Kluyveromyces lactis: one gene and its partners. The protein of the gene in region 5 purifies or fractionates together with the protein of the main gene of each other region. This does not show direct contact. Links are inferred from orthologs where the notes say so. Each region holds a gene or a part of one and is shown on either strand. Other genes may lie near its edges.

Region 1 (6,150 bases), on a different chromosome or scaffold from region 5:
GGCAATGACATCAACGCAGTTGGAATCTTTGCCAGTATCATAGCCGTTTTCCTGTTGATTGAAATTGCAAGAAGAGTAGTGTATGAATTACTAGTCGTAGAGAAGAGACACAATGGAGACAGTGGTGGAACTAGCGAAGTACCAAGATGGGTAAACACCGAGCAAGAACCACTATGGAGACGAATCCTGAGAAGTGTACCATGGAGCGGGTTAGGCAGAAAGAAAAGTAACAAAAATCTGGTTAGACTAAGGACAAGAGAGAATACCGGAATCAGTATAGATATGGAACAACAGAACGAGTTGTTAGATAGTTTAGATATTGAGGCAAATAGCATGGAGTGAAATATATATTCAAAAATGGAATAGTGTATCGTGTTCTGTTGTTATGGATAGCGTATGTACCATCATTTGAAGGGTTTTGGTACGGTTGGAACGGGGGGGGGGCACGGGCAGCCAAACACATATCTGGGACTGTTTTAATAAACCCATACATCATAAAAACAAAAATGAAACTAAAAAAGAAAACACAAAATAATACTTAAAACAGAAATGATTGTTTAGGAACGGTTTCACGATGAAACCACTTTAGCGCTGAAGTTGGTAAGATTCAGAACCAGAACTACATTCAGTGCTAGAAGTGTATGCAGGGCGTCTCTGGTTTCGCTATGCTACTGGTGGAGTGGATGTGAATGGCCTCAGTCTCGCTTTTAGAGAGAGTCCCACTAAGCAGTCCAAAGAAAGCTCCCACTGGAACAGGGGAAAGGAGCCTGTCCAAGCAAATGCCTTCTCATAAATGGTGCCAAAGACCCGCAAGCCCAAAGCAATTACCCCCCAAAAAGAAATGATATAGTGCAAGATACGTATATGACCATGACTTGACTAGGTGAAACAGTGCAGAAACAGCCGCACAAAAGCAGCCCTAACCCTCAGAGTCGATTTTACTCTTTCAGGTAATAAAGCCTCGACATCAATTTTAGACAGAAGCCAGGCTGGCCTCGAGATTATAGCCATAGGCAAGCAAGAGGAGAGAAGGGGAGGCCCCCCATGGGGGGCCTCCCCCCCGCTGTCAAGGTTTGGCAGAACCTAGCTTCATTAGGCCACTAGCCCAGCCTAAAACGTCAACGGGCAGGAGGAACACTCCCACAAGACGGCGTAGTATTCTCGATTCATAACCATTTTCTCAATCGAATTACACAGAACACACCGTACAAACCTCTCTATCATAACTACTTAATAGTCACACACGTACTCGTCTAAATACACATCATCGTCCTACAAGTTCATCAAAGTGTTGGACAGACAACTATACCAGCATGGATCTCTTGTATCGGTTCTTTTCTCCCGCTCTCTCGCAATAACAATGAACACTGGGTCAATCATAGCCTACACAGGTGAACAGAGTAGCGTTTATACAGGGTTTATACGGTGATTCCTACGGCAAAAATTTTTCATTTCTAAAAAAAAAAAGAAAAATTTTTCTTTCCAACGCTAGAAGGAAAAGAAAAATCTAATTAAATTGATTTGGTGATTTTCTGAGAGTTCCCTTTTTCATATATCGAATTTTGAATATAAAAGGAGATCGAAAAAATTTTTCTATTCAATCTGTTTTCTGGTTTTATTTGATAGTTTTTTTGTGTATTATTATTATGGATTAGTACTGGTTTATATGGGTTTTTCTGTATAACTTCTTTTTATTTTAGTTTGTTTAATCTTATTTTGAGTTACATTATAGTTCCCTAACTGCAAGAGAAGTAACATTAAAAATGGGTAAGGAAAAGTCTCACGTTAACGTTGTCGTTATTGGTCACGTCGATTCTGGTAAGTCTACCACTACCGGTCATTTGATCTACAAGTGTGGTGGTATTGACAAGAGAACCATTGAAAAGTTCGAAAAGGAAGCCGCTGAATTGGGTAAGGGTTCTTTCAAGTACGCTTGGGTTTTGGACAAGTTAAAGGCTGAAAGAGAAAGAGGTATCACCATCGATATCGCTTTGTGGAAGTTCGAAACTCCAAAGTACCAAGTTACCGTTATCGATGCTCCAGGTCACAGAGATTTCATCAAGAACATGATTACTGGTACTTCTCAAGCTGACTGTGCTATCTTGATTATTGCTGGTGGTGTCGGTGAATTCGAAGCCGGTATCTCCAAGGATGGTCAAACCAGAGAACACGCTTTGTTGGCTTTCACCTTGGGTGTTAGACAATTGATTGTTGCTGTTAACAAGATGGATTCCGTTAAGTGGGATGAATCTCGTTTCCAAGAAATTGTCAAGGAAACCTCTAACTTCATCAAGAAGGTCGGTTACAACCCAAAGACTGTTCCATTCGTCCCAATCTCTGGTTGGAACGGTGACAACATGATTGAAGCCACCACCAATGCTTCATGGTACAAGGGTTGGGAAAAGGAAACCAAGTCCGGTGTCGTCAAGGGTAAGACCTTGTTGGAAGCTATTGACGCTATCGAACCACCATCCAGACCAACTGACAAGCCATTGAGATTGCCATTGCAAGATGTCTACAAGATTGGTGGTATCGGAACTGTGCCAGTCGGTAGAGTCGAAACCGGTGTTATCAAGCCAGGTATGATTGTTACCTTCGCCCCAGCCGGTGTTACTACTGAAGTTAAGTCCGTCGAAATGCACCACGAACAATTGGAAGAAGGTCTACCAGGTGACAACGTCGGTTTCAACGTCAAGAACGTTTCCGTTAAGGAAATCAGAAGAGGTAACGTCTGTGGTGACTCCAAGAACGATCCACCAAAGGCTGCTGCTTCTTTCAACGCCACTGTTATCGTCTTGAACCATCCAGGTCAAATCTCTGCTGGTTACTCTCCAGTTTTGGATTGTCACACTGCTCACATTGCTTGTAAGTTCGACGAATTGTTGGAAAAGAACGACAGAAGATCCGGTAAGAAGTTGGAAGACTCTCCAAAGTTCTTGAAGTCCGGTGATGCTGCTTTGGTTAAGTTCGTTCCATCTAAGCCAATGTGTGTTGAAGCCTTCTCTGACTACCCACCTCTAGGTAGATTCGCTGTCAGAGACATGAGACAAACCGTCGCTGTCGGTGTTATCAAGTCCGTTGACAAGACTGACAAGGCCGGTAAGGTCACCAAGGCCGCTGTCAAGGCTGGTAAGAAATAAGTTTAACTTGATACTACTAGATTTTTTCTCTTCATTTATAAAATTTTTGGTTATAATTGAAGCTTTAGAAGTATGAAAAAATCCTTTTTTTTCATTCTTTGCAACCAAAATAAGAAGCTTCTTTTATTCATTGAAATGATGAATATAAACCTAACAAAAGAAAAAGACTCGAATATCAAACATTAAAAAAAAATAAAAGAGGTTATCTGTTTTCCCATTTAGTTGGAGTTTGCATTTTCTAATAGATAGAACTCTCAATTAATGTGGATTTAGTTTCTCTGTTCGTTTTTTTTTGTTTTGTTCTCACTGTATTTACATTTCTATTTAGTATTTAGTTATTCATATAATCTTAACTTAACGTAACAACAACTTTCATTGTCAACAAATTTACTAATACTAATACGTATGGACTATTTGTTAATAGGTTGTGATATCCTTCTCTATTAGGTTATTACACATGCCATACAAAGCTAGTATCTATCGGCAAGCAATGGTCAGTACCTTATATCTGTCGAATCTACCGTCGAGGCCCGACTCATTGTCCAAATTCAGAGCCTTACTACTATCAAGTGTTAATTCAGATCATCGTTCTATTTCAAATGATGTTAGTACAAGATTCGATCTGAACTCGAAGAAAGAAACTAGTGAGGCTGATGCGGTTACACCAGTACTCGATGAAAAGTATCAGATCATAGAGGTATCAAGGTATGGCTCAAGACCCTTGAGGAGGTCTTGTTTCGTCACTTTTAAGGACTCAGACAGTTGTAATACGTTCCTTATAGAATTTCAAGGCAAGCTCAAGATTAATGGGAGAAAGATAAATATAAAGCTGGCGAATACGGATTCTTTCGCAGCTTTGTACTACCAGGGACAACAGAAACAGCTACAGGATGAACTTCGGTTACGTACACGTAAAGCTGTGGATAATTCACAGCCCAAGACCAAGACAAAAAACGAAGTGTTGAAAAGAAGGTTAAGAAGAGCTAGAAGTAAGCTTAGAAAGAAGGATTTGGACGAAGAAACCATACAGAAGCTTCTTTCAAAGCCCAGAAAAACAAATCCTGAAGGTACCAACAAGACTGCTATGTCACAGCAGTCGGAGAAAGTTTCCTCCACTAAAAAAGTCTTTGACATTGTCGGAAATCCCCCTCACCATGTCCTATTGGTTCAAAATCTTCCAAAAGATGTTACTCAGCAAGAATTGGAAAAGTTATTTGTCTCAGATGGATTTAAAGAGGTTAGATTGGTCAGTGTCAGAAATCTTTGCTTTGTTGAATATGATTCTACAGCAAATGCCACTAAAGTTGTTGAAACCTTAGGTCATGATCATCCATTCAAGAATGTAACGATAAAGATTGGATACGCCAAGAAATGATTCTACATTTCAATGCGAATCAATAAATTCAAAGCGTTCACAGGTCGGAACTGGAACCAACAATCTACGCTTTAATAGTACATTTATCAGCAACAGATAAACAGAATAAATAGAATAGATTGAATATAAATTATTTACAGTCAGTGTATGGAGGCCTGTACAGTACAGATACACTAGAAACGAAAAAGACAGAAATGATATATACATATATGCATACGAAGCTCTAAAACCCTGAAACCGAAATTACTTACCAAATACGACAGTTCTCATAGCTGTAAAGAAAGTTTCCTTACCCTTACCTTCGATTTCGTCATGCAATCTTTTGTAATAAATTGGGTTACCTGCTGGCTTGTATAATTTGTCCCCTACAGCATAATAATTCTTATATTTATCGCTCATTATAGCATTCAACGATCTTATCTGTTCTTGGATTTGAGTATCGTTGAAATGTTCTTCTGGTAAAGCCTCTTGAACTTTCTTTAATAGATCTTTCTTCAAACCTAATGGGCCAGAAGTTCTGTTGATAATATCCTTAATCTCTGCAAGAGAAGGCTTACTTTGCTCAGAGGCACTACCGGTTTCTATTCCGGCAACTGGACGGAACCTATCTAGTTGTGACTCTTTGAATGAAATGAGATGCTTAACACGCTCCTTAGGGAACTTCTCTAACAGCTTCACTAATTGCTTAGCACTTTCTTTTGTTGCTTGCGACATCTTTGTTTTGTATCTGTGCTAATATGGATTGTAACTCGCTAGTTTAGATAGAGTCTTTGCTGGCATGACACAACCGTATCTACCGTCAGATATGCAAACCAACTTTCTTGTCATTATATCGATTCAATCCAAAATTTTCGTTTTTTCTTGATGCTCTAAGTCAGAGGATGAAATTAAAAAAAAGAAAGATCTCAGAGGTTCAAGTAGACTTCGCTTCTAGCGACAGGTAATTTGCATGCTACCTGGAGTGCCTTCTCTGTAGTTTTGCTTTGTTACACATTATTGGAATAGTACCAGATTTAATATTTAACGTGAAATACTTTATTAATATTTAAGCGGGGATTATTTACATTTCATTCATCCTCTTCGAACGGAATTGAAGCAGAAGAGGAGCCGATATTTATGTAAACGTTTATTCTGATTCAGCTTGAGAGTTGAATGGGGCCAAGTCCTTGGTACCTTCTTCCCATGAAACACCTTGATAAGTGATTTCACGGATAGCCTTGATGACGTCCGCGACGGAACCTCTGACTTGTTTGGTAGAGTCTCTTTCTCTCAAAGTGATGGAACCATCAGTGACGGAATCAAAATCAATGGTGACACCGAATGGAGTACCTAATTCATCGTTACGGGCATATCTCTTACCGATAGAGACACCAGATTCGTCAACCTTGAATGGGATTTGTTCCTTTCTCAAGATTTGTGAAACTTGGGCAGTAATCTTCGATAATTCTGGGTTGTTCAATAGAGGAACCAATAGAACCTTGGTTGGAGCAACTAGTGGAGGGAATGATAACACGGCTCTGGCAGTGTCTTCTGGTCTGCTCCAGAAGGAGTGTTCGAAGATGGAATAGATGATACGTCCGATACCGAAAGATGGTTCGATGACGTTTGGTACGAATTCTCTGATATGTTCGGTGT
Region 2 (6,555 bases), on a different chromosome or scaffold from region 5:
CTATAATTATCAGATTACATGTACATATGTATATGAAAAAAAGGGAAACTGTTTTAATACTGAGACTGTGTAGGAGGTCGTGTTTCATTTTGAATATCGTTAAAAAATCGTCATCTATAGAAGGGGGGTAGTTCAAATACCTGATCTTTATTGAATTTATTTGGATTCTTCCTTCAAGAAATCACCCAACAACTTTTCAACGTCAAATTCGTCGGAACCACCAGCAGCTGGAGCAGCTGGAGTAGCAACAGCTGGCTTGGCCTTTTCAGCATCCTTAGAACCAGACATGGCGTAAGCTGCACCACCGAAAACAGAGCCCAAGGTAGCTATGGCTAAAATATGTGGTTGAACAGTCATACCGAAAATCTTGTAAGCAGCACCCATTATTAATATGTATGAAATTGTAGTGTTTGGTACAGTTTTTATGATTGAAATGGAATCAGCCCTAACCGGTGTTGAAGGGTTAAAAAAATTCACATAAACCAAGTATAACACTTGCTAACCTTGGAACGAAATCCTTTAATTCTTAAAAGCTCATTCGAGGAAGGTCAGTGTCTTTATGCGAAAAGAGTGAAATTCTGCGACATCTTCTGTGTGATCCCTTCGAATTTCACCTCGAAAACTTGGGCCAAAAGACGTTCGGAGTGATTAAATTTCATGAAAAAAAATTGTAAGTCACGTGGACAACATTTTATTTTCCTTTCCTCCCTTACTGCCCCCTTCCGGCAACATAAGGCCCTATGAATTGTGACTTCAACATGCTGTGAACCACCATTGTTTAAGCTCTATATATTGTTTTGACAACTCCAAAGCGGCGCCCACTACCAGCTAGTCATTTAGCCCGCATCATTGCCATGTTCAGTAGTTTGTAGTTTACTGTCCACATGGAATTTTCTAGCATCACCGAAAACGGGAACCTTTCTGACATGAAAGTTGAAATTTATAAAAGGCTATAAAGCTTACACACTTTACAAAATGAAGGATTCGACATTTTTTCAACAATAGAGTGCCAAGATTATATCAAAGTCAGCGTTTGTACAAGATCCTTGATCCTCCTCGATTGATATTCTTCCCCTAAGAAGTAATCACTATAATAATAGGTCAAAATGTCCACTCTATTGAAGTCTGCTAAATCTATTGTTCCATTGTTGGACCGTGTTCTGGTGCAAAGAATCAAGGCCGAAGCCAAGACTGCTTCTGGTTTATACTTGCCAGAAAAGAACGTTGAGAAATTAAACCAAGCTACTGTGTTGGCTGCTGGTCCAGGTTTCACCGATTCCAACGGTAACAAGATTACACCATCTGTCCAACCAGGTGACCAAGTTTTGATCCCACAATTCGGTGGATCCACAATCAAGTTGGGCAAGGATGATGAAGTCGTTTTATTCAGAGACTCTGAAATCTTGGCCAAGGTCGTCGAATAAAGGTCTCGAACGTTACACCAGAATTAAATTTAAAGAACGATGTTATGAGCCAGTATCTTTCTCTGTTATTGATGATTGAATTTTGAGAGACGAAGGGAGATATTATTTATATAAATATGACTTTTTTTTGATGTTGGTAGTGATAAAACTCAATAATGTTGACCATTGTGCGTCACTTGGACTGCCTACTCACCCCATGTAAATAAATGTTCTAAGTAGGTCGTTGGATTTACTCCGGTTTTATTTTTTTTAACATACACTATTACTTTTATTCCAAAATTTTGATGATTTCGAACTTGGATTTCATTTTCAGTACGTAATTGTTTGTTAAAACTTACCTAATGGTACAAAAGTCAATGCATCGTGCTGCTCTAAGATATTATTTAACTGGTTTTTATCTTTACAATCGAGCATGAACCAGCCCTTGAATCTACAATCACCAATTAATCCTTGCCAAACCTTTGTAATTTTACCGTCGCAAGGTACTGTCTCTTCGGTATCTCTATCTTTGTATGGTTCCGACCAATTGATTCGCTTTGTCACCAACTTATCGAAAAAGCGGATAGATTTTTCATCTCCAAAAGCTACAATTATACCTTTGCCATTTTGAATGTGTAGACAGCATCCTTTCAACTTCAATTGCTTACCGTTGGTTTTGATTTTGTATCTGATACTAGGATTCTGTATTTCGTCAAACATGTAAACAACACACGTGTATTCTAGAGGACTATCATTGCTGTGTGCTTGTAACTGGGATTCCTTCCTTCGTTTCAGGCTTTCTTGATGCCTTATTTCATTTTCTTCGAAATGTTTCCTTTTCCTCTCTGCCACTTGTCTCCGTACGATGGATTCCCATTGAGTTGGATCCGCAATATTGGCATCATTCTCATACACATTCATCATATTCGATAATTTAACCTTGGGCTCTGGTTTTGGTTCTATACCAAGCTTGATTTTCTCCTCCTTCTCCTGTCGTACCAACTTCCTCGTATTCCTTCTGGCCTTTTTCCGTTCGTTTTTCGTTAAGAAAATCTCTGCCACTGGAACAGCTGCCCTAGGCCTTTCAATCGGTACCGGATGTTGAATATACCTAATACTTGGGAATTTATCTTGTGCACCTTCCTCTTCCTCTTCCTCTTCATCATCACTTTCATCGTCCGAATTCAATGTGGAATAATCCAAACTATATTTCTCATGGATGCTACCATCTTTGATATATGGAACATCCCACCATTCCACATCAGGAACGTCCGATAAATCGGTAAAATAAACTTCTTCATGCTTATCAGGTAGTTCCCCTATTTCTATTTTCCGTTCGATTTCCTGCTGTTTCTCCAGTTCAGCTTCCCATCGTATTCTTTCTTCTTCAGACTTTTCACGGTTCTCTTGTCTTAATTTTGCAGCATGCTGGACAACCTCTCCCGGTTCATACCAATGAGACGATACTCTTGCCTTTGGCTCAAAACCATGAGCCTGTACGTCTTGCAAGTATGGGTTTCCACAACGTCTACCTTGAAATCTCAATAAATTGACATTCTCAACACTCAATGCAGAATGCAATTTCCGATTTAACCCTCTATTAGTATTATTATCATTGCCCATTATATGATGATATGATTTTTGTACAAAGGGCCGATTATTCCAGACAATCCGTAGTTACTATTACACATCACCATTTGTCTTTTGTCCATCTCTTCTCTAGCATCGCAATGAACTCTCTCTCATATAGAATCTGAATCACATCTTCACTCTGTAACGCCTATGATGAAATTCACCATGCCCGGGTAATATATCCGAAATTGCACCAACCCCTGATTGTGCGTAGTGTATGGGTGGAAGCCAAAACAGCACAATTTTTCTGTTTTATGGGATGAAAAGAATTACATAAGCGGCCCCTAATTCTCGTTGTTTTTGTGTTCCTCGTGAGTTTCTCAACTCTTTGCTGAAAGGGACAAAGTTCAGTTCCCAGAGAAGGACTTAGGCGGGGAAATCCAGCCCAGGAGAAAGGAAAGCAGAAAAGCTGATGTGATTTTTAACAAGTAGTGTTGCTTTGGAGCTGGAAAAAGTCAGCATAGTAACGTGCGCATCATACACTCTGATTTGCAATGATGGTGCCTCGGAGGGGTGGGTGTCATATGTGGGGCGTGATATCTTACCGTTGGGTATAAATAGTAAGAGAATAAACTCTGGCTTAAATTATTGTTATAAAAGGCTAGCTTGAATATATAGTTAAGGATACCGATCTTAATTCATCTCGTACTTTCCAACCGAAACAAGACTAAAAAGTGAAAAAACATACATAGCTAAGGATAGACTTAACATAGAAATATGGCACATTCTTCTGGTATTCGTAGACCAATTCAGATTCAAGAGTTCGTGATTGCTATTAGAGAATCGTCTGAGCATGAATTACAAGAGATCAGAAAAGAGATCAATAATGCAGTGAAGCATTTACAAAGATCTAACAGAAGGTTAGAAGCGTACGTTGCCAAGCTTAAGGGTGAAGAGGTATTGAACAGACAAGAATTGGACGCGGAAGGGAATTTTTCCGATGATGATATTGATGAGAAGGATTTGCAAGTATTCCAAGACTCATTAGCGGAAAATGGAAAAGTATTGGATAATTATAACGAAAGGCTACAAGCTTTGGACCTAGAAGAACAGCACAGGGCTAGCACTGTATCTTCCGGTGACATCCAATCGGCGTCCACAAAATTAAAAAGATCTTTGCAATCTCAAGGCCGGAGAACCGTTGGCGTGGATTCAGATAATACTGCTGATGCCACTGGTTCCAATAGCATTAACTTATGAACCCATTCCAAACAAAATATATATAATGTACTCATATATTGAAGTATAGTAAAAAAAAAATGAATGAAAGCAAAAATGCATGTTTAAAAGTGTGGGCTGGTATGACCTCGGAAAACTGTATACTTTCAGAGATGAATAAACGCACCCGTTCTGGTTTCTTTCTCTTAGTTTCGGGCTGGTAATCTGCTGGGAAAAACCCTGGAATGAATCTGCTACAGACCATTCTTAACATTTAGCTTTTTCTGTTTCCAGCAGGCTGGGCCGTTCTCTGTGGCATTCATTTTCTTCCATCTGTAAACGTCGATGCGAAAAAAGTCTATCAGGTTCACGTTAACATTTCATTTCATTTTGATATGATCGACATATATACTGTGCCATGGCATGAAAATGTTAAGAACACTTTTGGAGAAAAACATACAGAGAGTCGTTTTGACAGCAATTATTCGGTTGGAAAAGTGGGAACTGCCTGGGTTAATGATTGGTCTCCATCTATAAAGCATCAGGTTCAATTCAAATCGAAACAATTCTTTTTTTCCCTTTAAGGTTGTTTCTCAGTGCTTCATACGTGTTGTCAATATCTTTTTGTGTTCTTATTCGGCCAGACAAAATTTTTTTTTTGGGTCTAATCCACAGCTTTCGCTTCAGTAATTAGATTGTGGTCTTTTCGTTTGTTATTATACCCAGTTCATTTCGTTCCAGCTAGTAATTTTTTTGTTCTTTTTGTTTAAATGGTGATATCGTTGATATATGTCCTTTTACTGATATGTTCAGTTGTCTCGGAGACCCTTAAACTGCCGATAAACCCAAATCGATTAGAATTCGATTTGTGGCCATATAAAAAATGGGAAGTTGACGGCTCGAGTGACGCGTCTAGTTATCAAACTTGTTTCGAAATGAATACGAATATTAAGGCCAAGGATTTACAATTCCTCATTGAAATTGAAGAATTTACTAAATGGAAAGTTAATGTGGATAGGTTTGGTCCAACTACGAGTTCAAAGGGAAAACAGGTTGTCAACATGGATATTTATGACGAAGACCAAAATTTGGTACAGTCAAGACATGGTTTAGAGAATGGGGAAACTGTGCTTTACGTGAGCGTATACGAACATCAGAATTTCCAAATATGCCTTATCAACTTTTCATTAGACTCCTCATGGAATGCCATAGATAGTGTGAAGCAAGTAGCAATTAGCATCACGTCTAATGATCTGATTCAGAAACAGAAGTGGGATTTGATTACTGATGATGATCTCAATTTGTTATCCCAGGGTAGAGATGACCTGTTTTCGTTGGTCAGTGCGGATTCTGGCCAGGAATTGCATGCTTTAGATGTCGATCATAGAAATCTCAACGAATCAACGTTCTCTTATCTACTGGCAAAAGTCACAATATTATTCTGCATCATTGGAGTATGTCATTTGCTGGTATTTCCAATCTTACTGTATAGAATCGTTAGCAAAGGGCAACCGACCAAGAACAAAAATAAAATCAAAAGATAAGGAATAATTATGTCCATAAAACAGTTGATGTATTTGTATATATATTAAACATCAGCACCCTGTATCAGTACAACTTCAATATCAGTCAGTCAGCATTCATCGTATGTTAGTACTTCGAACCGTGACTGACACCTGACAGAACATCTCACTAATGGCCAATTATATCCGGGTAACACCGAATATTAATGTGCATTAGCGAAAAGAAGAAATGAAAAATCTGAACTAATTTCAGTATTGACTTATATGAGCTTGAGATGAGATGCAATGAGATGATGAGAAAAGGCTTATTTCCCTTCTATCAACAGCAATAGAAACATCTGAGTTTAAAGCGAGTTATCTTCTCACGAAGCAGACCCATCTCGTTAAAAAAAAAATCAAATAATATAAGAAGATAATGGGACTTTCGTTAACTGAAAAATCGTTCCTATACGATTCTCTAACATTAGATCCCCCATTAAGACCGGATGGAAGAGGTCCACATCAATTTAGACCATTGGAAGTATCTACTGATTTCCTTCCCAATTCTAATGGATCCAGCCGTGTGATATTAAGCGGAGGAAGCGAGTGTATAGTGAGTGTAAAAACTAAAGTCGTGGACCATACGGTAGAACAAGAATTGCTTGTTGCTGATGTCGACATCCAAGGCCACAGAGATGACTCTCCATTGGTTACCAGCATGTCTTCACTATTATCCAAATTGCTCAAACAAACTATTGATCAGAAAAAGCTAATGCTCACGAAAAGGTACAGTTTCAAACTTTACATTGACGTTTTGGTGCTTGCCTCCAAATCATACCCGATCTCAATGATATCTTTCG
Region 3 (7,222 bases), on a different chromosome or scaffold from region 5:
CGTTGCCTATTTCATGGATGTCATCACAAATAATTAGTTCTATTCTTTGAATGTTTTTTCTTTCCGGCCAGCGACGAGACAGGTATTCAAATTCATTCGGAGTAGCTAATATTAGATGAGATTGGGCTAATTGTTTTTGATCGTGCTGCAAATTTCCAGAAAAAGCATTGATCAGTTTTCCACCAGCCAAATGTGAGAATCGCTTTTTCCAATTCTTTAGAAGTTCAGTTATCTTGGTTTTGAATGGACAAATGTAAATCGCACGTCCTCTGCCTTCTCTCCAATGGTTCAATAATGAAAGTTCTGCCATTATTGTTTTACCGGAACCTTTTGTTGCACATATTAGTGCGTTTTCAGTTTCATGGTATAATGTATCGAAAACTTCAGTTTGAACTTTATTGAAAGAATGGAAATTGTATAACGCCTCAAATTCATCAATTTGTAGTTCCTTGGTACTTTTCTTAATTGAATCAGAAACAGATATTGCAGGAGGGAATGGTTTAGGTAATTTTATTTCACTCAAAATAACAGGAATCTTGTACTCACAGTTTAGCCATTTTTCTGATATAACGGATACAAAATAGTTCGGCGGTAACATTTTCTGCTTCAAAAATACAACAAAGTCAAGATACACAATGCTGTTTATTGCATTTCTCCCAACATGCAATGTCTCATGATAAATTGTTTGTTCACCGTCTGTGTCTTCGACAAGAACAAGGAATGTTTCAGAATAGCTGCTGGAATCCAGATCCCAGATCCATGTAGGTTGGAGTTCCAACTCAAAACGAAGTAGTGAATTTGTAACTGGCTGCATTGCGCAGTGAATGCCAATCTTCGGGAATCTTTGAAGCAAATCGAAAGCAACTTTACCATTTTTTGGAGATCTTAAGGCTTCGCCTACCTCATGAGCATTCTTCAACAGTAAGAAATCGTTCCAGGGTAAACCAGACGCTTCTGCTCGTCTTATGATTTCTTGAGGGCATCTCTTGAATTGCCTAAATGGTGAGTTCGTGGGCCACATTCTGCTATCGACGCATTTACAGATGGTAAGCAGAAGCTTGGTTAGTCTTGGCCATCCTTTTCTTAAGCACATTTCGAAGAGTGCTCTGAAAAGTCTACCTGCGCTCTGAGAAATGTAAATCATATCCGCATTTAAAGCGAACCCCTCCAATCGTAATTTTGAAATGTACACCTGAAGTAGAATGTTTGCCTTGGCTAATGAATCAGTAGCCTTCTCCTTGATCGGAATTGGACAACGCTCGACGAGTTTCTCTAATTCAGTTTTCTCTTCTTGTCTTACGGTAATGTTCTTAAACTCTTCTGACATAGCAAATATTCTCAGAATGTCGATCAAAGTGCTGTTTATTGTTAACTCCCGGTTGTATTTTGCAATTGACGAATAACTTATGTAGAAATGAGAGGATATTCTACCTAGCTCAGTTGGTTGTACCGACTTAGAAAGAGAGTCATAGTTTACAAGACCGTTATTCTGTAATAAATTCAACGCCGTATGCACAATATTTCTGTTGACTCTTATGAGCTCAGCATCACTCATGTCTCCTGAAGAACCTTGCAAGTTGTATAAATGAGGTGATTGCTTCATCCGTACTGATAAATAGGAATAACCCAACCAGTTAACTGCTTCATCTAGTGAGGTGACGTTACCTAGAACTATTTCAGCATTAAGATTATCAACAACTTTTGAAATCATTTGAGATTCTATAGGGAGTTGTTGGTTCAACACAGCGAGATAATAACGTACGTCTGATTGGTTTGTAATAATGATCCCTTCACCATTTACGTCGTATCTCGGCCTACCAGCTCTTCCTAACATTTGAAGGATATCTTGTGGGGGAAGCATGACCCAATCACTTTTCTCCGGTGAATACATTTCTGTACCTTTAATTATGACAGTGTGGGCAGGAAGGTTAACACCCCATGCTAAAGTTGCTGTGGAAACAAGAACTTTTAGCAAACCATCAGCAAAAAGGTCTTCGGATAAAGATCTATCATCCTTTGTAAGGCCTGCATGATGGATACCGAATCCATAAGGTATAAGGTCGGAGAGCGATCTATCAGTAGCATTACTGGATTCTGTCTTGAGGATTTCCAAGGAACCTTTATCGGTACCTTGGAACGCACTTATTTTATCTTCATTTATAAGTTTTTGAATAAGCCACCTAGCAGTTCTAGCAGTATCCTTTCTCGAATGAACGAAAATGATAACTTGGTGTCCTTCTTTTGCGGCCTCCAATAATTTATCATAGCATGCCTGGTTCATGGCATTCTTCTTCTTTAAAGCATTTTTCTCAGTGATGCCACAATACTGTTGTGCTAAAGGACATGGCCTGAAAGTTGAATCAAAATAAAATAAGCCATTATCAGGAACATGAAGGAACTTGGCCACGTCAATGTAGTTTGGTAAAGTGGCAGAAAGTGCAACAAGCCTCGTAGGAATTTCTGCCGTTGTGTCCCGTAGAACCCTTGCTACTATTGATTCAATGACCGGACCTCTTTCATCATGTAATAAATGGACCTCATCTATGATGATCAAACGTACGAGTTTGTGAAAGCTAGTGTCTGTTGATTTTCTTGTGATTACATCCCATTTTTCCGGAGTTGCTACTAAGAGTTGGGTTTCTTCGATTTGCTGCTTAGATAAGTTGGAATCACCTGTAAGCTCTGCTACCTTCACTCCAAAATGATGTAACCTTCTTTGAAATTCTCTGACTTGTTCTTGTACCAATGCCTTGAGCGGTGCGATATAAACCACTTTAAATTTTTTCAAATCGAAGGCATTTCTCTCTTCCCGATAGTAATGGGACATTGCTCTTAGTACAGTCAACATTGCTACGTTAGTTTTACCAGCACCTGTGGGGGCACATAGTAATACATTAGCGTCTGTATTGAAAGCAGTGGGGTAGACCTCAGATTGAATTCTGTTTAGTGAAGTCGTTTCAGACGTAGGGAAAGCACTGCGAGCCCATTTCGGTAGGCTCTCGATCTGTACAAGCGGGAAATTGTCATCAACCTTCTTGGGCGGGGGAACGTGAATTTCTTCATAGCTATCTTTGACTCTTTTGAATGAGTTTTCAGGTAACGAAATTTTCACGTCTGACAAAAACTTGGTATTCTGCGATAATTTAAGGTCATCGAGGGCAATTACTTTGGGTTCATCTTCAGCTTCTATTTTTTGTTTTTTGGTTCCAACTTCTGGCTCTGAATTCAACTTTCTTTTAGCAGAATCAGGTTTCGCCTTATATGCTTCTACCAAGTGTGATAAATTTCTTTGTGCCATTTCCCCTAGAATTTCGTCAATGTTCTCGTTCGCAGACCTCTGTAAGTTGTGACCCCAGTACAATGTCTCCCTATTTGAGACTATTAGCCTAATCAATTGTTTCGCATCAGGTCCGAAAATATCGTGGAGATTTTGGGTCAGTTCCTCTTCAGAGATGTCGTTTGCGAGCAGGTCGTATACGTTATTGGCCATTTCCTGAACCTTTGTCTCTTCAATATTTTTCAGTTGTTTCCTGATCTTCCTCTGAAGATAAAATCCATCAATATCTTTGATATCTATTATTTCTTCCATGACAGCTGCACTCTGTATTTGCAAAGATTCTGAATTATTCATTATGTCACTTCGTACAGAAAAATTATCATTACTATTGTCTGTTTTTTCATTATAACCCGCTTCTTCATCGGCCTCTTCCCCTGCCACGTCATCTACAGCTTCTAGTAGAGCATTTGGTTCCTCTTCTTCTTCTGCTTCGTCATCATCTTCATTGGGATTTATCGCTACATTTACTGTTCTACCGGTATCGGCGGATTCTGCGTAGTAATCAGAGATACTTTTCACGAGCTTTACAAGTGAGTTGAATGAAGCGTTGTCTAATTCAGTATCCAAAGCTACTTCAATAGTCTTTTTCTTGCTCTCTAGGTCTACACTTTCATCCTGCTTCAAAGTTACTATTATCAAATCTGTTGCGTCTACTATAATGGAATGCGGTATATCATCACCGAGTATCTCAGAACACCATGTAGTTATCTCATCGTATATCTCAGTATTTCTATCATCAGTCGGTATGTAGTTCAAAGACGTTATATCGTCAAGTACCGTGGTTCTGTCCAGCCTTGAGCTATTCGTCTGCTGAGGCGATGAGCTTTTCATACGCTTTTCGAATTCTTTCTCTGCTGTAGCACGCTCGTTATCTTCTAATCCGTTCTCCTTAACGGCAGATCCCATTTCAGTAAGCCTGATTCTACCAGACATAGACTTCGGCTGTGATATTTCCGCATCACGATGCACATCCGTCCTGTTCTCTATCAAACTTCTATCAGCGCGTAGTACCTGATTTGACATTTCATCATAACGGTAAATCTCTTTGATTTTCTGCTTTCTTTCTTTAGCATCTTCGGTCATCTCTCTGTCTAAGTATGTACCTTATCAGTACTGACTATTGCTTGATTTCAACTCGCTCTATGTGCATTTTAGATACCACATCTAAGCTATACGATGTTATTCCATTCATATAATTCATATTCGACTAGCAAATATCAAATGGAATGCTTAATTTCAATGTGCGGGTAAGCTAGATATTTCCACAGTCAGAGATTAGCACTCAATATAAGAGAATACAGATTGAAGAGAGGTAAACTACTCTTAATACCAAATTATATACCGAATAGCTCGCCAAGACGGAGCTCGGCCGTTTTGCAGAATTGAACTAAACGACATTACATTTATTTTCGTCATAAATTGAGGAATTTTAATGATGTTATAGCATGTCAACTCCTAGTTTGAAACGATCTATCAGTGAAATCAGCGATAGGATAAGCAGAGCATCCCCAAGAAAGGATAAGAAGGTGAAACGATCATCTACGTCGGTTCCTTCCTTTCCTTACACGAATTTGGATCATGTGGATTTGACACGACCTAGTGGAGAACGGACGTTGCCAAGTGAGCTGCAATGGTATGACAAATTTAGTCCGAAGAGAGTTGATGACATCGCATTGCATAAGAAGAAGATAGAGGAAGTACGGTATTATTTAGAGGGTATGGTCTCAGGGAAATCAGATGAACGGATTCTTCTGTTAAGTGGGCCTGCAGGTTGTTCTAAAAGTACTTGTGTTAAGCTTATAAGCGATGAGATAGTGCCTCGTTATAGAGCTACGTCAGGACTCACAGTGAGTGGAAGGGAAGTTCCGAATTTTACAGAATATCTTACAGATATGAGTAGCGTTTCACCATCTGAGTCGTTTGATGATTTTTTGCTTCAATCTAAGTACTTAATCGGTAGGAATTTGTCAGTACTTCTTGTCGAAGATCTGCCGAATGTTTTCCACGAGTCAACGTTGAAAAGGTTCAGGGAGAGTATTCTCTCGTGGCTCTTTGCTTCTGATCGTCTACCACCACTGGTGATTTGTCTTACTGAATGTCAACTACTGGACTCGAATTCTACTAATTCATCATTTGGAATAGATTCTACCTTCATTTCAGAAACAATCTTGGGCAAAGATATCTTGATGCACCCGTTGTTGCATCGAATTAAGTTTAATCCCATCAATGCAACATTAATGACGAAGCATTTAAAGCAGATAATACAGAAAGTTAGAAGAGAAATCCCCTCAGAGAAATACCAAAGAAGTGGCACTTTCATTAAGAACCTTGCATCTAGTACAGGTGATATTCGATCTGGCATCGCGGCATTACAATTCTGGTGCACTTCTAGCTTTGATGAAACTAATAGTATTTTCACGAGAGAAAGTTCAACAAGTTATTTCCATGGTATTGGTAAGGTAATATATGGATCGAAGGATAATGAAAATGATAGGTATATGATAAATGAGCTTGTTGACGGCGGAACAATTGCCAATGACACGTTCAAATTGGGTATCCTGGAGAATTTCTCTAAATTAAACAAATCACAGTTCCCGCTGCACTATGCTGCAGATGTTGTGGACACATTGAGTATAACGGACACACTACGACCTCTAGAAGAAGAACCTCTGTATTATTGTCTTGGGAAAGTTAGAAATATTTCTAGCGATGTGAAAAGTTCCAATCACAGCGTACATGGTCAAGCAAACTTTCCAAGAGAGTATAAGATGGTTCAGGAACAAAAGAGGTTTCAATTTCAATTGCAGGATTTCATTGCTGTTGAATTTTACAAATACCACTCCTTGTGGTCCACCAAAGACGCGGTTCTTTATGGGAGTTATTTTGGTCCTGAAATACGTAAATTCCTATCATTTAAGGCGAAGTCTTTGAAATATTATATTGATTCGTTGAAACCTACCACAGAACAATATAATGATTATATGTCTAAGTATAGGAGATTATTGACGATAGACGATCTTGACATCTTGGAAAGAGTTGGTGGTGAAATGAGGATGATGCATGCAACTTCTGAATTAACGACTAGTTTAGATGATTCTAAGAGCGAAAATTTAGCATTAACCAATGAACGGAACTTGGAAAAACTGAAATCTTTGCAGAAGCAGTCGCTCCTAGACGAGGACCCCTCTACTTTACCAGATAACCATGATTTCAAAGATGATCCGATAGTGGATTCAGACAGCGAGCCAGCTATCGGTCTGGAAGTAGAAGAGGGTGACTCTGAACTTTACGAAATTTTGTCCCAAAGGCCAAAACAAACGAAGTTCAATGGCACTCAGAACTCAATTAATGAAGACGTTCCTCTATCTGATTCTGATATAGAGAACCTATAGGAATACTTGTTATATCAACACCCCCAACTCGTTTATGAAATTGCATTTATCATTTAATCAGATGTTTTTTATTACTAATGTTACTATTCTATTAAAAAGACATAGATAAAAATAAATAAGTGAGAAGCATACGTTGTTACTGTGACATGGTACACGTTGTTAACATTCGAGACTCAAACATAGCGCTGCAAGCCAGTTAACGACTCATTGTTTTCAGTGTGCTTGTTCGTTTACTTTTTCGTGGTTGCAAATCAACGAATGTTTCGAGACCCTACCAGAGATATTCAGTGGCTTCCAATTATGGGAAGAGCAGACCGCAATAATTATTAACGTTGTGTGTGCAAGCAGCTCTGCTCTAATAAAATATTAGCGTAGTGCAACAAAATTCTCTGTTAGGTCGTTATAGCTATTTTCGTTTTGATGCAAGTTAGCGGGTCAACTTATGCTGACAGAGTGTGTTGAAAAAACTCTGGATCTTCCTCTAATGACTCCT
Region 4 (6,959 bases), on a different chromosome or scaffold from region 5:
TGTTGATGGAGCAGATGTACTAACCACTGTTTCTGATGAGACAACATCTTGAGATGGAGGTAACACTGATGAAGAGATTTGAATGTCATCAGTAGCCCATGGTTCAGAAGTCGATAAAGTTTCAATTGGCAATGATGATGTTTCCTCCGTGAGGATAGTACTGGTTGAAGGCTCTGGAATAGATTCTGAGGTACTGCTTTCTGGTAGAGGTTCCAAACTAGTAGTGCTTAATGGAATTTCAGTGGTAGTTGGTTCCACGATGTCGGCACTTGTAGTAGAAGGAGTTGGTTCTTCCGTAGTGGTAGGAATTTCGGTCGATTCTGTAGTGGAGAGAGAAATTCTTGTTGATTCATCAGTGGTGGTAATAGGAACTTCTGTTGATTCTGTAGTGGAGAAATCATTATCAGTGGACTCAGTAGTGGATATAGGAACTTCTGTTGATTTTGAGGTAGGGAAGTAAATTCCAGTTGATTCATCAGTAGTCGAAGAAACATCTGTGGACCGCGAAGTGGGGAATTGAATACCAGTGGATTCATCGGTAGTTGATGATGGGATAGATTCGTCAGATGCTGTAGAAGAAGTAACAGGAGGGAAAGTGAAAGTTGTAACGAAATATCCACCATCACTTGAGGACGTTTCATCAGAAGTGGAATATTCAGTTGAAGAAGTAACAGGAGGGAAAGTGAAAGTTGTAACGAAATATCCACCATCACTTGAGGACGTTTCATCAGAAGTAATTTGTTCAGTTGAAGAAGGCTCAATTGATGATGTTACAACAGAAAAAGTGGATGGTTCAGTAGAAGAGGATTCCACGGACGAGAGGACTGATGAAGAAGAAACCTGAGAAGCAGAATCGGTGATGTAGGAAGCTGTATCACTACTGCTTTCAGCAGAACCTGTTTCAGTAACAGTTGTCGTAACAAAAGAATCTTCAGCTGAAGAAGTCCCAAAAGAGGTAGTCTCAGAAGAAAGAGCGGAGGAACCGGATAGAGTAGTTACACTAGCAGAATCGCTTGCAGTGCTCGAGGAGGAAGCCGAGTATTCAGAAGATGGGATACCATTTCCACTGGTAGAACGTGAGATCGCAGAAGAGGTGATCGATGAAGGAGTCAACACAGAAGTGGTACCTGAAGTACTACTCGAATCATCATCGCCATTACCATTTCTCGTACGACTCTTAGAGTGCGTGCTTGAAGAAAGCGAGAACGTGGATGGTTCTGCCACTGTCAATGAATCGTAATTCAAAGTAGTTTTCCAACTGCTCTCAGTGCTGGAACTGGTCTCGGTACTCTGAATGGATCTAGTAGAGTTATCAGAACGAGAAGTCTGGAAAAAATCCAGGAATCCTTGGGCAGATACTAAAAAGTTGCCCAAGAATATAACGGTTAACAAAAACCTTAAATTGGAAAATTGCATCGTGTTAAGCGAATGAAATCAAATGAAAAAAGAATGTAAAATAGTTGGAAAAGTAATCAAAGTTTTGCCGAAGGCCTTAGTTCAAACCTGAGATTCTCAAAGTTTTCTAATGACAAACCGGCAATCCGTAATAATAAGTAATAATTTTATATCACCAAACAATGGGACGGGGAAAAAAAAAACAGAGATCGATAGTACACTTCAACCTGCCTGAAGCTCTTGTCACGTTCAAAGTATAAGCTCACTAAACAAACGATGGCAGTTTCCTAAAGACTGAGGATTGGAAGGTAATTTGGATCAGTAGGTCAGTTCTGATAATCTTTCTTTATTAAAAACCTCTAATAGATCCTTCTTATCAAATGTATAAAAAACTTATAAGTAATTTGAGATGAATCAATAAATGAATGAATGGAGGAACACAAAGAAAAGAAAGATGTATACACCAAAATATTACCACTGGTAACGTTCTTTGTTGAAAAGTTTGACCCTGACGATAAATCTCGAATCTAAAAACTTATTATCTTTTGCCTAAAGCAACCCGAACGAAAACAGAAACTAAATTCCACCATTATCAGGTGTGTACATAAGTTACAAGTAATAGAATCTCTATGTTTGTTCCTTTGTTTATCTCATCCTGCCAATTCTTCCTGTAACCGTTCTGGATCTGGTAAAAAATTGGTGAAGTTGAGAATGTATCGCTATATACGATATACAAAACGCGAATCAATATGAAACACGATTACCCGGACCTCTAGTAACCTCATGTTACCGCCCGATCTGGCTGGAACACTCGAATCGGGCGAAAAAATTTCGTGACAGTCACGTGAGACGTAACCGGGTAATAGAATCTCATTATTAGACATGTGACACACATACCTACATATACATATATATGTATATTCACATGTATGGTATATTCCACTACTGTTCCATCGCTTCCCATATACGGCTCACTAGGACAGGGCTATCTTCGTCGAACGTCTCTGTAAGCTCAGTCTCGAGTGCCTGTTTCGATTGATGTTCTTCGATGTTTTCAAAGATATATGAGACTAAGTCGGGCTCGTAAACTCCCAAGTATTCTTTGACGAGTTCTTCCACTACGCCGCTTTCCCTTAGTAGATTCAACTTCTGTTGGAACGCATCGGTTTCAGGAGTCTCTTCCTCTTCTATCTCATTCTTTGTCTTTCCAATGGATTTCTTTAGTGCTAATTTAATCTTTGGTGCAGCCGTTGTCGCATCTGCGTCCGATACCAATTTTGTCTCTGTCTCTGTCTCTGGCTCTAGCTCTAGCTCTAGTTCTGTCTCTGGCTCTGTTTCTGTTGCTTTTTTCTTTGGTACTTCTTCAGATTCCCGTTTACGGTCCTCTTCATCTGCCTTGGATTCAGATTCCTTGTATGGCCTGTGATGGTCGTGGTAAGGATCCATGGCAAGATGTAATAACTCTTTTAACATAGGACCTTTGTTCTTTTGTAAATGCGTTTCGTAGTTTTGTAACCTTTGGTATTCTTGTCGTAGCGATGAGTATTGGACCAGTAACGAATCTTGGAAACTATGAACCATGGATTCATACTGGGCTTCTTGCGCATCTCTTTCCGCTTGAACTCTTTTTTTTTCCGCTTCGTAATCGTCCGCATCTTCATCATCGTAACCCTCAACCTCGTCGTCTGAATCTTCAGAGTCACTTTCAGCTTCAGGGGCTGAACCTTTTTCCGAGCCTCCATTAGTAACCTTGATACGGTCAAATATATGCTTCAAGTTTTGTTTCCTCCGTTTTTCTTCCTCCGCTAGCTCTTTATTCCGTTTCTCTTTCTCTAACGTAATGACACGAGTTCTAAACTCAACAATATCCTTACACAATTGGTCTAATGAGGAACTCGGAAGGTCACTCAACGTACTTATATCCACGTTATACTCAACGGCACTATTTCCAGCCAACCCTTTCTCCTGAGATATAGAGCCTGGTTCAGATCTCAACATTGTAATTAATGCGGAGAACTCATCTTTTGCAGTTTCATCGAGTTCCTTAGCAGGAGAACCTTCCGTCAGATCGCAAACGAACCGTCTAGTGTTTTCATCCATGTGAAGTCCGATCCCATCTGACCCGTTGTCAAACAATTTCTCAAGTAACTGTATCGCTTTCCCATATTCTTCCACTATACTTTCCTGGAAACTTATATATACCGTCAACGTATTCACACAATCGACGTAACTCCATTGTTTGATAAATTTGGTCTCATTATCTTCAACTTGCAGCTTTTTCCGTATTAGATTGTCTAGTCTGTCCATAACTTTATCAATACCCTTGGATCCAAGTCCCAGTGGAAAATGTGCTAAACAAACGGTATGCAACTGTTGTTCTAACGAAATTGGTAAAAAGGACTTCAAATCAACATAGCGTGAAGTTGAAGTCTTGAATTCATCAGAATTGTCCGTTTCATTAGTCTTCGAGGCTACTGAATTCCCTTTATCATGGTCTCTATGGCTGTTGGCTTGTTTCAACGACTGTTCAAATTTGGGGATATCACTCTTCAAAATCGGCACATATCCTGGCTTCGGCACCTGTGATTGCCAGTTCTTCGTGTCTCCACAGCAGTATAATGTGGGCGACACAAACAATACAGTATCCATTAGTGAGTTAAACACGTTCGGCCTAGTAGTATCAGCGTTTATTTGCTAACTCATCGCTGAAACTTTACGTCTACTCTCTCGATATATATATTTCAAGATTTTTCCAATTAATTGATATTTACAAAAGACCAAAGTTAAACACACTGTACGTTATTTATATGATATCTGAAATTGAAAGATCGTTACTCACCTGCAGGGCCTCTTTCCAGAACTTGCTTAAATGTCTAGAGCCACTGTCACATGCAATGATGCAAACATTTGAACCCTTCGGTAAGTTTTCCGCATATTTCAGCACTGCGACTGCATTGATTGCAGTACTGGCACCAACGAATAATCCGTCATTTACACATAAGAATTTGGCCATCTTAATAGCTTCCTCGTCTGTAATTCTGATGGAATCATCTATATAATTTTCCGCTTTCAGAAAGTTGTTTGTAATTCTGTTAAGACCAATTCCTTCCACTAATGTGTCCACTTGATGTCTTCTTCTTGTTCCTTCTTTCTCTACGTTATCGTACATGACACCGTATTTGATTCTATTGTAGAAACCCGAGCCTTGCGGATCAGCCAACACAATATGTACTTTGTCACCTCTTTTCTCCTTTAGATAACGAGAAACACCGGCCATGGTACCACCAGTACCGCATCCCGTGATGAATGCATCCACTTCCCCATTTAATTGTAGATAAATTTCAGGTCCTGTCGTTTCGTAATGGCATTTCCAATTGGCCTCGTTCTCGAATTGATCTGCAAATACACCAACACCCTCAGTGTACTCTTCTGAACACGACTTAGCTGCATTTACGTATTGGTTCGGATCCACTATACTAGCAGGTTTTACCTTGTTCACTATTGCACCAAGTGCAGTTAAAAGAGAAAGTTTCTCTTGGCTTGTATCGTCCGGTAGCGAGATATGGCATGAGTAACCCAACGCGTTACAACATATTGCAAGGGATATACCTGTAGATCCGCTTGTTCCTTCAAAGATTCTATTTTTCTTATCACTTGAACCCTTAATACCTTCCTGCGATGAGATGGTTTTGATAATATTCAAGGCAACTCTGTCCTTTGCGCTACCACCTGGATTATTTAACTCCATTTTGGCAAAAACGTTCAAACCAGTATAATCGGAAAGAGATTTAATTCTTACCATTGGTGTATTTCCTATCAAGTCTTCCACTCCATCCTTTGGTGGTGATAGAGCAGTTAATGTAGTTGTCTTAACCTTATATGCATAGTATAACGATGCAACAGCCACGAAAAGGGATGTTACACAGGCATAATCCTTCCATCTGTCTGCAGCAGTCATCGTTACGGAGCTAGATCAAAGGATAACAGCATGCGCAACTTTCGCTAGACGACAAATACTATTGTTGATTAAGAACTTCTATTATAAAAAGGATTTCAACTAACTAAAAACTGTTACAATTTGTGTGTATATTATCTTCGAGTTAAAGACATCACGTGAGTCTGACCAGGGAGGAGTCTAGAAAGGAGAAGGAGAATATGTGATTAGAACAATTAGTGTCACACTCAATCCTTGTTACCGATAACTTGTTTCACTGGTTCAGTTTGGTTTACGTACAAGCCATGCTCTTGAATATATCTGATGACAGAATTTGGCAGTAAATACTGAACCGACATTCTCCGTCGGATGAATAACCTTACCTTGGTGGAAGAGATATCATTATAGATCAACTGTTTAATGACAAGGATATTCCTTCTGTGTTCGTACATGATATCGTGAGACAACAAGAACGAACGAACATCTGAACCTGTTCTTTCCACGATGAGACAGCCGTAATTACCCAAAATATGATGTAAATCATAATCTGCCCAGACGTTAGGTTCGCCCATGGATTCTATCAAATCACCACCGGCAAGAAGCATGATCTTAACACCCATTCTTTCTCCGGCGTCATTTTTGATGACACCTTTCCGTTTCACATTAATTTCTTCGTTGAAATGGTCCAACACCATTGCCGTTCTAGTGTAAGTTGGTTGTAACGATTCCCAAGCATCAACCATGAGCCATGAAGAAGTTCTTTCACAGCCCAATTCACACATACGCACTCTATGGTGAGCTGGTGCCAATCCCGGTTTCTTATAGTTGTCACTTACGGGACTGTAGTACCCACCGATGACTTCAAATCTGGTCTGTTCAGAAATTGCATCCAATGCCATCTCAAACATTCTCAAATGAAGGTACGTGATTGGAGAGAACGATCCACAAGCAACAATGACCAAGGGCAATTTATTTGAGTTTCTTAACCTTTGTTTCAGTCTATGAGCCGGGAATTGATAATCCTTCCAGTTGTTGGCCTGACGCACAATCCCATGAGGCACTTCTTCCAAATCAGCGATTTGGAACTTGTGAATTCTCGAAGTAATCTCTTGGTCGAGGGATGCAGCAGCTGCAGCAGCTGCTGCCATCCCAGATGGACCAGAGACCGAACCGGATGCATGAGCCACTGGAGCCGAAGCCATAACTTCATCCGATTCTGGATTTGGATCTATATCCAAATCTACGTTCGCCGGTTCTGCAGGAGATTCAGATTCAGATTCAGAATCACCACTCGTTTCAGCTGACACCGGCTGTAGTTCCCTCTGTTTCAACGGGATGAACCCATTGTTCGAATTTGCTGACAGATGCTGCTGTTCGTTGGAATCGTCACTGGTAGAAGTCATCGAAGAAGCCAATTTCCGTTTAATGGCATTTTTCTTATACTTACGAGGACGAATCGGTTTATCTATAGCTGTATTGTAATCAGCTAGCACATATGGGATAATAGGACCGATTTTTGGAATATCGGTGCTTGATTGAAGTGCCTCACTGTCTAGTTCCTGAGGGGACTTGAAATTGGGATCCCTGGTAGGGTCCATGATGAAGCTTGCAGAGCGATGAGCGAGGAAGC
Region 5 (5,248 bases):
TGACCTGGATGTTCATCGATTACTTCAGATCTGGTCGTAAATGGACTACTGTTGGTTTGTGTTCTGGTGCCATTTCCGGTTTGGTCGGTATTACCCCTGCCGCTGGTTTCGTTCCATTATGGGCTTCCGTTATCATCGGTATCGTCACAGCTGCTGGTTGTAACTTGGCTGTCGACCTGAAGAATTTGTTGAAGATCGATGACGGTTTGGACGTGTACGCTTTGCATGGTGTCGGTGGCTGTATCGGTTCAGTTTTGACTGGTATTTTCGCTGCCGATTACATTAACGCATTGGCCGGCGTTGAAAGTTCCCCAATTGCTGGAGGTTGGATCAACCACAACTACAAGCAAGTTGGTTATCAATTAGCTGCCGTGTGTGCTACTATCGCATGGACCTGTGTCGTTACCGCATGTTTGCTATTGATCTTGGACAGGATCCCATTCCTAAGATTGAGATTGAGACCTGAAGAAGAAGAATTGGGTACTGATGAAGCTGAAATTGGTGAATTCACCTACGAAGAAGACGCTGTCTACATTCCAGAACCAATCAGATCCAAATCCATCGCTGAAGCTCCTCCAGCAAACATCGATGACAAGATTCACACAGGAAACAACTCTTCATCAGAACTACAATCTGAACCAAAAACTACTTCCGCTAATGCCTAAACTTTATTAATGTAATAATTTTGGTTTTGCAAATTTCAGAAACTGCAATTACACGAAATGTTCTTTTATTATCTGCTTTCAGCTGCTAATTGTAACCGTTAACCCTGATTTTACTGGTGAATCATTCTAAACTTCATTTATTCATTTCAAGCTAACACCAGTTCACACCAAAGTTTGGAAAGGAGATCTACTTCTAGCCGTCTTATGTGTTCAGTAATATCTAGTTCCTAATATGACACTTATGTACCACAATAATTAATAACGAATCTCTCATAAATCCCTTTGTTGTATAGCCATTCACGACCTTTGTATCAGGTTTGGCGTTCGTCTAGTTGCTGCTATGAGATTCCCTCCAAATCCGGGTAATATAAACAAGTAAGACGTTAAATTCAGCATCTGATAGAATAATCGATATAACTTGAGTAAAATCCTCATCGGTTTGAGTAGTGTTACCGACTCTAACCAGCGCTTCAAGAGACCAAGGTATATAAAGGGTAACTAAGGTCTAATATGAGTAAAGAGCAACGTGATTCGAGAAAGACTCAACTATGGAAGATCAATCTATGGAAGATCTGGTATGCAGTTAACATTCCAATCATTACGTTTTTGGATTCGAATGCAGTACTTCCTCCATATCTTCAATATACTAAGGGACTTCTAGATGGTTATATTGATAATTTCAATGATTTTCTAACTGCCAATCCTCCAAACTGGCTCAAATATATGACAATCATTGAAATTTTATTCCAACTGCCTGTGGCCATATATTGCTTATACCAGCTGCTAAACTTGTCAAAGTCAAAAACTATCAAAAGAACTTTATTCACAGTGGACCGTCTATCTAAATGCTATGCATTCAATGTCATCACCACCACTAGTTTTTGTATATGGTACGTTTGGGCCTATGGGTACTATCCAGCCACGATGAATACCGATCACGTGTCATTGAGTAACCCGGACAAACTGGCGCTAACGATGGTCTACGTTCCTTATGTTCTAATTCCAGCATTATTCTTTGTATAGGCACAATGATTAAATATGAACCATGATAAAAGAACCTTTATAGTCTCTTTGTTACATCAACAATTGATATTACCATTCATTTCTACCATCATCCTGCCGTTAATTGGAATTCTTACCATGTCATTACCAGAAGGATACACAATTAGAAGAACCAAGAAAGATGATTTTTCTGGGGTTACATCTGTGCTGAAAGTGCTAACGATGGTTGGTGATGTGAGCCAAGATCAATTCCATTCACTAATAGACCATTGGGATTCAGTCACGATAGGAGATATACCTATGTACAATAGCACTGTGATCGTTGACACAAATGGGGAAGTTGTCGCCACAGGAAACGTGCTAGTCGAGAAAAAAGTTATTCACGAATGTGGGCTTGTTGGTCATATTGAAGACATTGCAGTGAGAAAAGATCAACAGGGGAAGAAATTGGGATTGATATTAATTCAGTATTTATACAAATTAGCTAACGAGTATGGATGCTATAAAGTTATTCTTGATTGTGATGAAAGTAATGTTGGATTCTATGAGAAATGTGGATTGAAAAAAGCTGGTGTCGAAATGCAAATCAGATTCGACAAATGATGTTGTAACCAGTGTGCGCTCTATCATATCTATCCTTCCTTTCTACTAGCATAATTCATTGTACGTAAATGTCACTAAGTAAAGTGTTCCGACACATTGAGTTGTATTTGTCTCCCTTCTGCTCTTACAAACTGTCAAGAGGTTCTATCGATACAATGGAGTTACCTCTAACAACAGTCTGGGGTCCCATTTGGACCTCTCCTTCTTCGAAAATCTGTATTGGATTATCCAGTACTAAGTTCAAAAATGCATCATATCCTCGTAATATTCCAATAATTTTCCTATTGCCGTTAAGCTGTAGAATGAGTTTCTTGTCCATGTACTGTTTGCAACGAATCATATTATAGTTAGTAATTTAAATTCTGATAAGATTTTTCCTGGAAAACAGGGGTAAACATACTTTTCTCAAATCTGGAGATGTCATGGAATATTGGATGGTTTATAATGGGTCGTACGGAAGTGATAAGTCGTAGATATAGTCTCTTAACTCTTGGCAAAAGTCCTTCGAAATTTATCTTCAGTATATTTCAATTGATGAATTTTGTACATAATTATGCTTTTTCCATTCAAAAGTAATTTTCAATGTCACAATGTTAAGAAGACAACGATGGTCAGAATAAGTTACTAAAGCATATCGACCCTTACTGAAAACATTCGTTGTCATTGGCATGAATTTCAATCCCGAGCTAAATATGGTAAGTAGGGATAACTAGTAAGAGAATATCAAAACGATAAGTATTATGCGCTAAGTGCAATTATATATATATATAGGGAAATTGGTATTTACATGATGTTAAAGGGTTTTATAAAATAATGTGCAGTATATGCAATTACTGGCTATGACTGCTGTAAGTGGTACATGAATAATGAGAATGCCAATGTCGTAATTAGTTCATCCAATCAAAGAATTATGAAAGAATGAAGGTGGAATGTATGACGGGAGAGCATATATGCGATTTAAGGATTTCATTCCCCTCTGATCTTCTTTAAAGTGTTAGACAAGAAATTTTCCAATTTCTTGATGGTTCCTTCATTGTTTTCAACTGTGTCTTTATCAGCAGAGGAAGAGTTGTCCTTAGCCGACGATCCAGAGGGAGTAATGGTCCTTCTTGCAGTGGTATCATTGGTCAAGTGGGCCAAGGTCTCCCATAGATAACGTTCTGTTTCATCCTTTGGTTTTTTGATAACAATCTTGAACTTGACAAGCATGTCACCCCTGTCACCTCTAGCTCCACGAGGGACACCCTTATTTGGAATTCTGATGACTTGATCGTGTTGAGTACCAGAGCTGACCTTCAATCTGATCTTTTCTTCCTCTACGGTGGGTACTTCAATGACGCCACCTAGTGCTGCCGTTGTAATTGGGATTTCCTGAGTGTAAATGATGTCGTAATTATTTGAAACTTGGAATCTTGTGTCTTTCCTGACTCTGACACGAATCAACAAATCGCCTCTGGTTAAATGCAATTCAGATTTCATGGACGGATCGATAGCCATACCGGGGTAACTACCTTGGTTAGGTACTCTAATTGTGTCACCGTCCTGAAGTCCGTGAGGTAAGTCTACGGTGATAGTTTTATTTGAATTCAATTTGAAACCGTGGCTATGACAGGTACCACATTTATCGCTGTCCTTAATAGTTGAACCCTCACCATCACATGTTTGACAAGTAGAGGCCATTTGGAAACCTGCTCTTACATGTACCTGAGTACCTGTACCATGACATGTAGGACAAACACTTCTCGAATGTCCAGCTTTCAACCCACTTCCATCACATGACGAACACGGATCGTAGCATTGGTAATTCAATTTGACATTCTTCACACCGAAGACGGCATCTTTGAAGGATACTTGGAATGGTACAGTGACATTCTCACCTTTATATTCACGGACAAAATCGGAACCGCCAAATCCTGCTCCATGCGAACCAGCTCTCCTGCCTCCGGCACCACCACCACCACCACCACCAAACGCACTTCCGAAAAGATCTTCAAAGTTCAATCCACCGAAATCGAACCCTCCAAAGCCTCCGAATCCTTGTGCACCACCAGCACCAGCACCGCCATAGGCACCGCCTGGTCCACCGGCACCACCAGCTTGGCTGAATGCAGCAGCACCGAATTGATCATACTGTTTCCTCTTATCTTCATCGCTTAATATTTCATACGCGTTTTGCAAATCATGGAACTTCTTCTGAGAGTCTTCTTCCTTATTTATATCCGGATGATACTTCTTGGCCAGCTTGTAGTACGCTTTCTTAATGTCGGACTGACTGGAGTTCTTGTTAATCCCAAGGACCTTATAAGGATCCTTAAACTCTTGTCTTAGAAGTCTTGCCGTATGGAATTGACGTGGGTATTGTAATAAATATCTCTTAAACATATGGATATGGGGAAATGAGTTTTTTCTGTAACTCCCTAGTACGTATTTGATCCTATTAAATCTCGCCTTGTCCGAATTCTCTCTAAATGCGACTGGCAGCGTACTTTTTTCAAACAAAGCTAATGATTAGAGCCACCGTAAGTCGAATAGGGTTGATCAATGTGGAACGCTAGCTTGTATATTTATATCAAAGAAGAGACATGACTGATTTCAATGTTATAAAAACTTTGAAGCTTCCTTTCTAGAGAAACCTCTGCTTGACATGTTCAGGCTGAAAGAAAAAATGGAATTTGATAGAAGCTACGATGAAATGCCGATAGTGCGGGTAACGCGTTATGCGAAGAGAACCCGAAGCTTTAAGAGAAAAATCGATCACGTGATTGTTAGAAAACACGTGACTTACTATTATTGTCAACCGTCCTGTCGGTGTATTCAAGATGGGATTATGTGGAGAAGGAATTGACACTTGCAAGCAGCCCACGACAGATATAAATCCTTTCTAAAAAGATATTGGAATGTCACATTACCTCGGTTCACCGCAATGCGCGCTTTGATGCTCAAAATATTTTCAAAGTTTTGCAGCCTCCTCATCCTTC

The links.
Region 1: the proteins of SMX2 (region 5) and MUD1 purify together in Saccharomyces cerevisiae (affinity purification with mass spectrometry; 4 studies listed by BioGRID). This does not show direct contact. The link is inferred for Kluyveromyces lactis from reciprocal best matches to the Saccharomyces cerevisiae genes SMX2 and MUD1.
Region 2: the proteins of SMX2 (region 5) and PRP3 purify together in Saccharomyces cerevisiae (affinity purification with mass spectrometry, with the first as the bait; 3 studies listed by BioGRID). This does not show direct contact. The link is inferred for Kluyveromyces lactis from reciprocal best matches to the Saccharomyces cerevisiae genes SMX2 and PRP3.
Region 3: the proteins of SMX2 (region 5) and BRR2 purify together in Saccharomyces cerevisiae (affinity purification with mass spectrometry; 5 studies listed by BioGRID, with this or other methods). This does not show direct contact. The link is inferred for Kluyveromyces lactis from reciprocal best matches to the Saccharomyces cerevisiae genes SMX2 and BRR2.
Region 4: the proteins of SMX2 (region 5) and SNU71 purify together in Saccharomyces cerevisiae (affinity purification with mass spectrometry, with the first as the bait; 3 studies listed by BioGRID). This does not show direct contact. The link is inferred for Kluyveromyces lactis from reciprocal best matches to the Saccharomyces cerevisiae genes SMX2 and SNU71.

Annotation. Positions count from the first base shown.
Region 1 is NC_006038.1:784,487-790,636, reverse strand, and holds MUD1 (Mud1p), read left to right. Parts: upstream 1-3,597; coding exon 3,598-4,515; downstream 4,516-6,150. Other genes in the region: MRL1 (Mrl1p), read left to right, coding at 1-342; TEF2 (translation elongation factor EF-1 alpha), read left to right, coding at 1,764-3,140; CBP6 (Cbp6p), read right to left, coding at 4,759-5,229; GRS1 (glycine--tRNA ligase), read right to left, coding at 5,642-6,150. UniProt on the Saccharomyces cerevisiae protein: Involved in nuclear mRNA splicing. The principal role of the U1A is to help fold or maintain U1 RNA in an active configuration. It is the first snRNP to interact with pre-mRNA.
Region 2 is NC_006041.1:824,715-831,269, reverse strand, and holds PRP3 (U4/U6-U5 snRNP complex subunit PRP3), read right to left. Parts: upstream 3,027-6,555; coding exon 1,752-3,026; downstream 1-1,751. Other genes in the region: MCO10 (Mco10p), read right to left, coding at 157-384; HSP10 (Hsp10p), read left to right, coding at 1,107-1,424; TMA17 (Tma17p), read left to right, coding at 3,753-4,235; RRT6 (Rrt6p), read left to right, coding at 4,964-5,737; exosome non-catalytic core subunit RRP42, read left to right, coding at 6,132-6,555.
Region 3 is NC_006039.1:1,581,782-1,589,003, forward strand, and holds the start of BRR2 (ATP-dependent RNA helicase BRR2), read right to left. Parts: upstream 4,421-7,222; coding exon 1-4,420. Other genes in the region: RAD24 (Rad24p), read left to right, coding at 4,783-6,729; monothiol glutaredoxin GRX4, read right to left, coding at 7,170-7,222.
Region 4 is NC_006039.1:1,597,631-1,604,589, forward strand, and holds SNU71 (Snu71p), read right to left. Parts: upstream 4,045-6,959; coding exon 2,338-4,044; downstream 1-2,337. Other genes in the region: MSB2 (Msb2p), read right to left, coding at 1-1,416; MCY1 (putative cysteine synthase), read right to left, coding at 4,199-5,353; nicotinamide-nucleotide adenylyltransferase NMA2, read right to left, coding at 5,578-6,927. UniProt on the Saccharomyces cerevisiae protein: Component of the U1 snRNP particle, which recognizes and binds the 5'-splice site of pre-mRNA. Together with other non-snRNP factors, U1 snRNP forms the spliceosomal commitment complex, that targets pre-mRNA to the splicing pathway.
Region 5 is NC_006040.1:657,583-662,830, reverse strand, and holds SMX2 (mRNA splicing protein SMX2), read right to left. Parts: upstream 2,695-5,248; coding exon 2,671-2,694; intron 2,593-2,670; coding exon 2,395-2,592; downstream 1-2,394. Other genes in the region: KLLA0_D07744g (ammonium transporter), read left to right, coding at 1-665; EMA19 (Ema19p), read left to right, coding at 1,176-1,688; GNA1 (glucosamine 6-phosphate N-acetyltransferase), read left to right, coding at 1,704-2,270; MDJ1 (Mdj1p), read right to left, coding at 3,237-4,652. UniProt on the Saccharomyces cerevisiae protein: Plays a role in pre-mRNA splicing as a core component of the spliceosomal U1, U2, U4 and U5 small nuclear ribonucleoproteins (snRNPs), the building blocks of the spliceosome.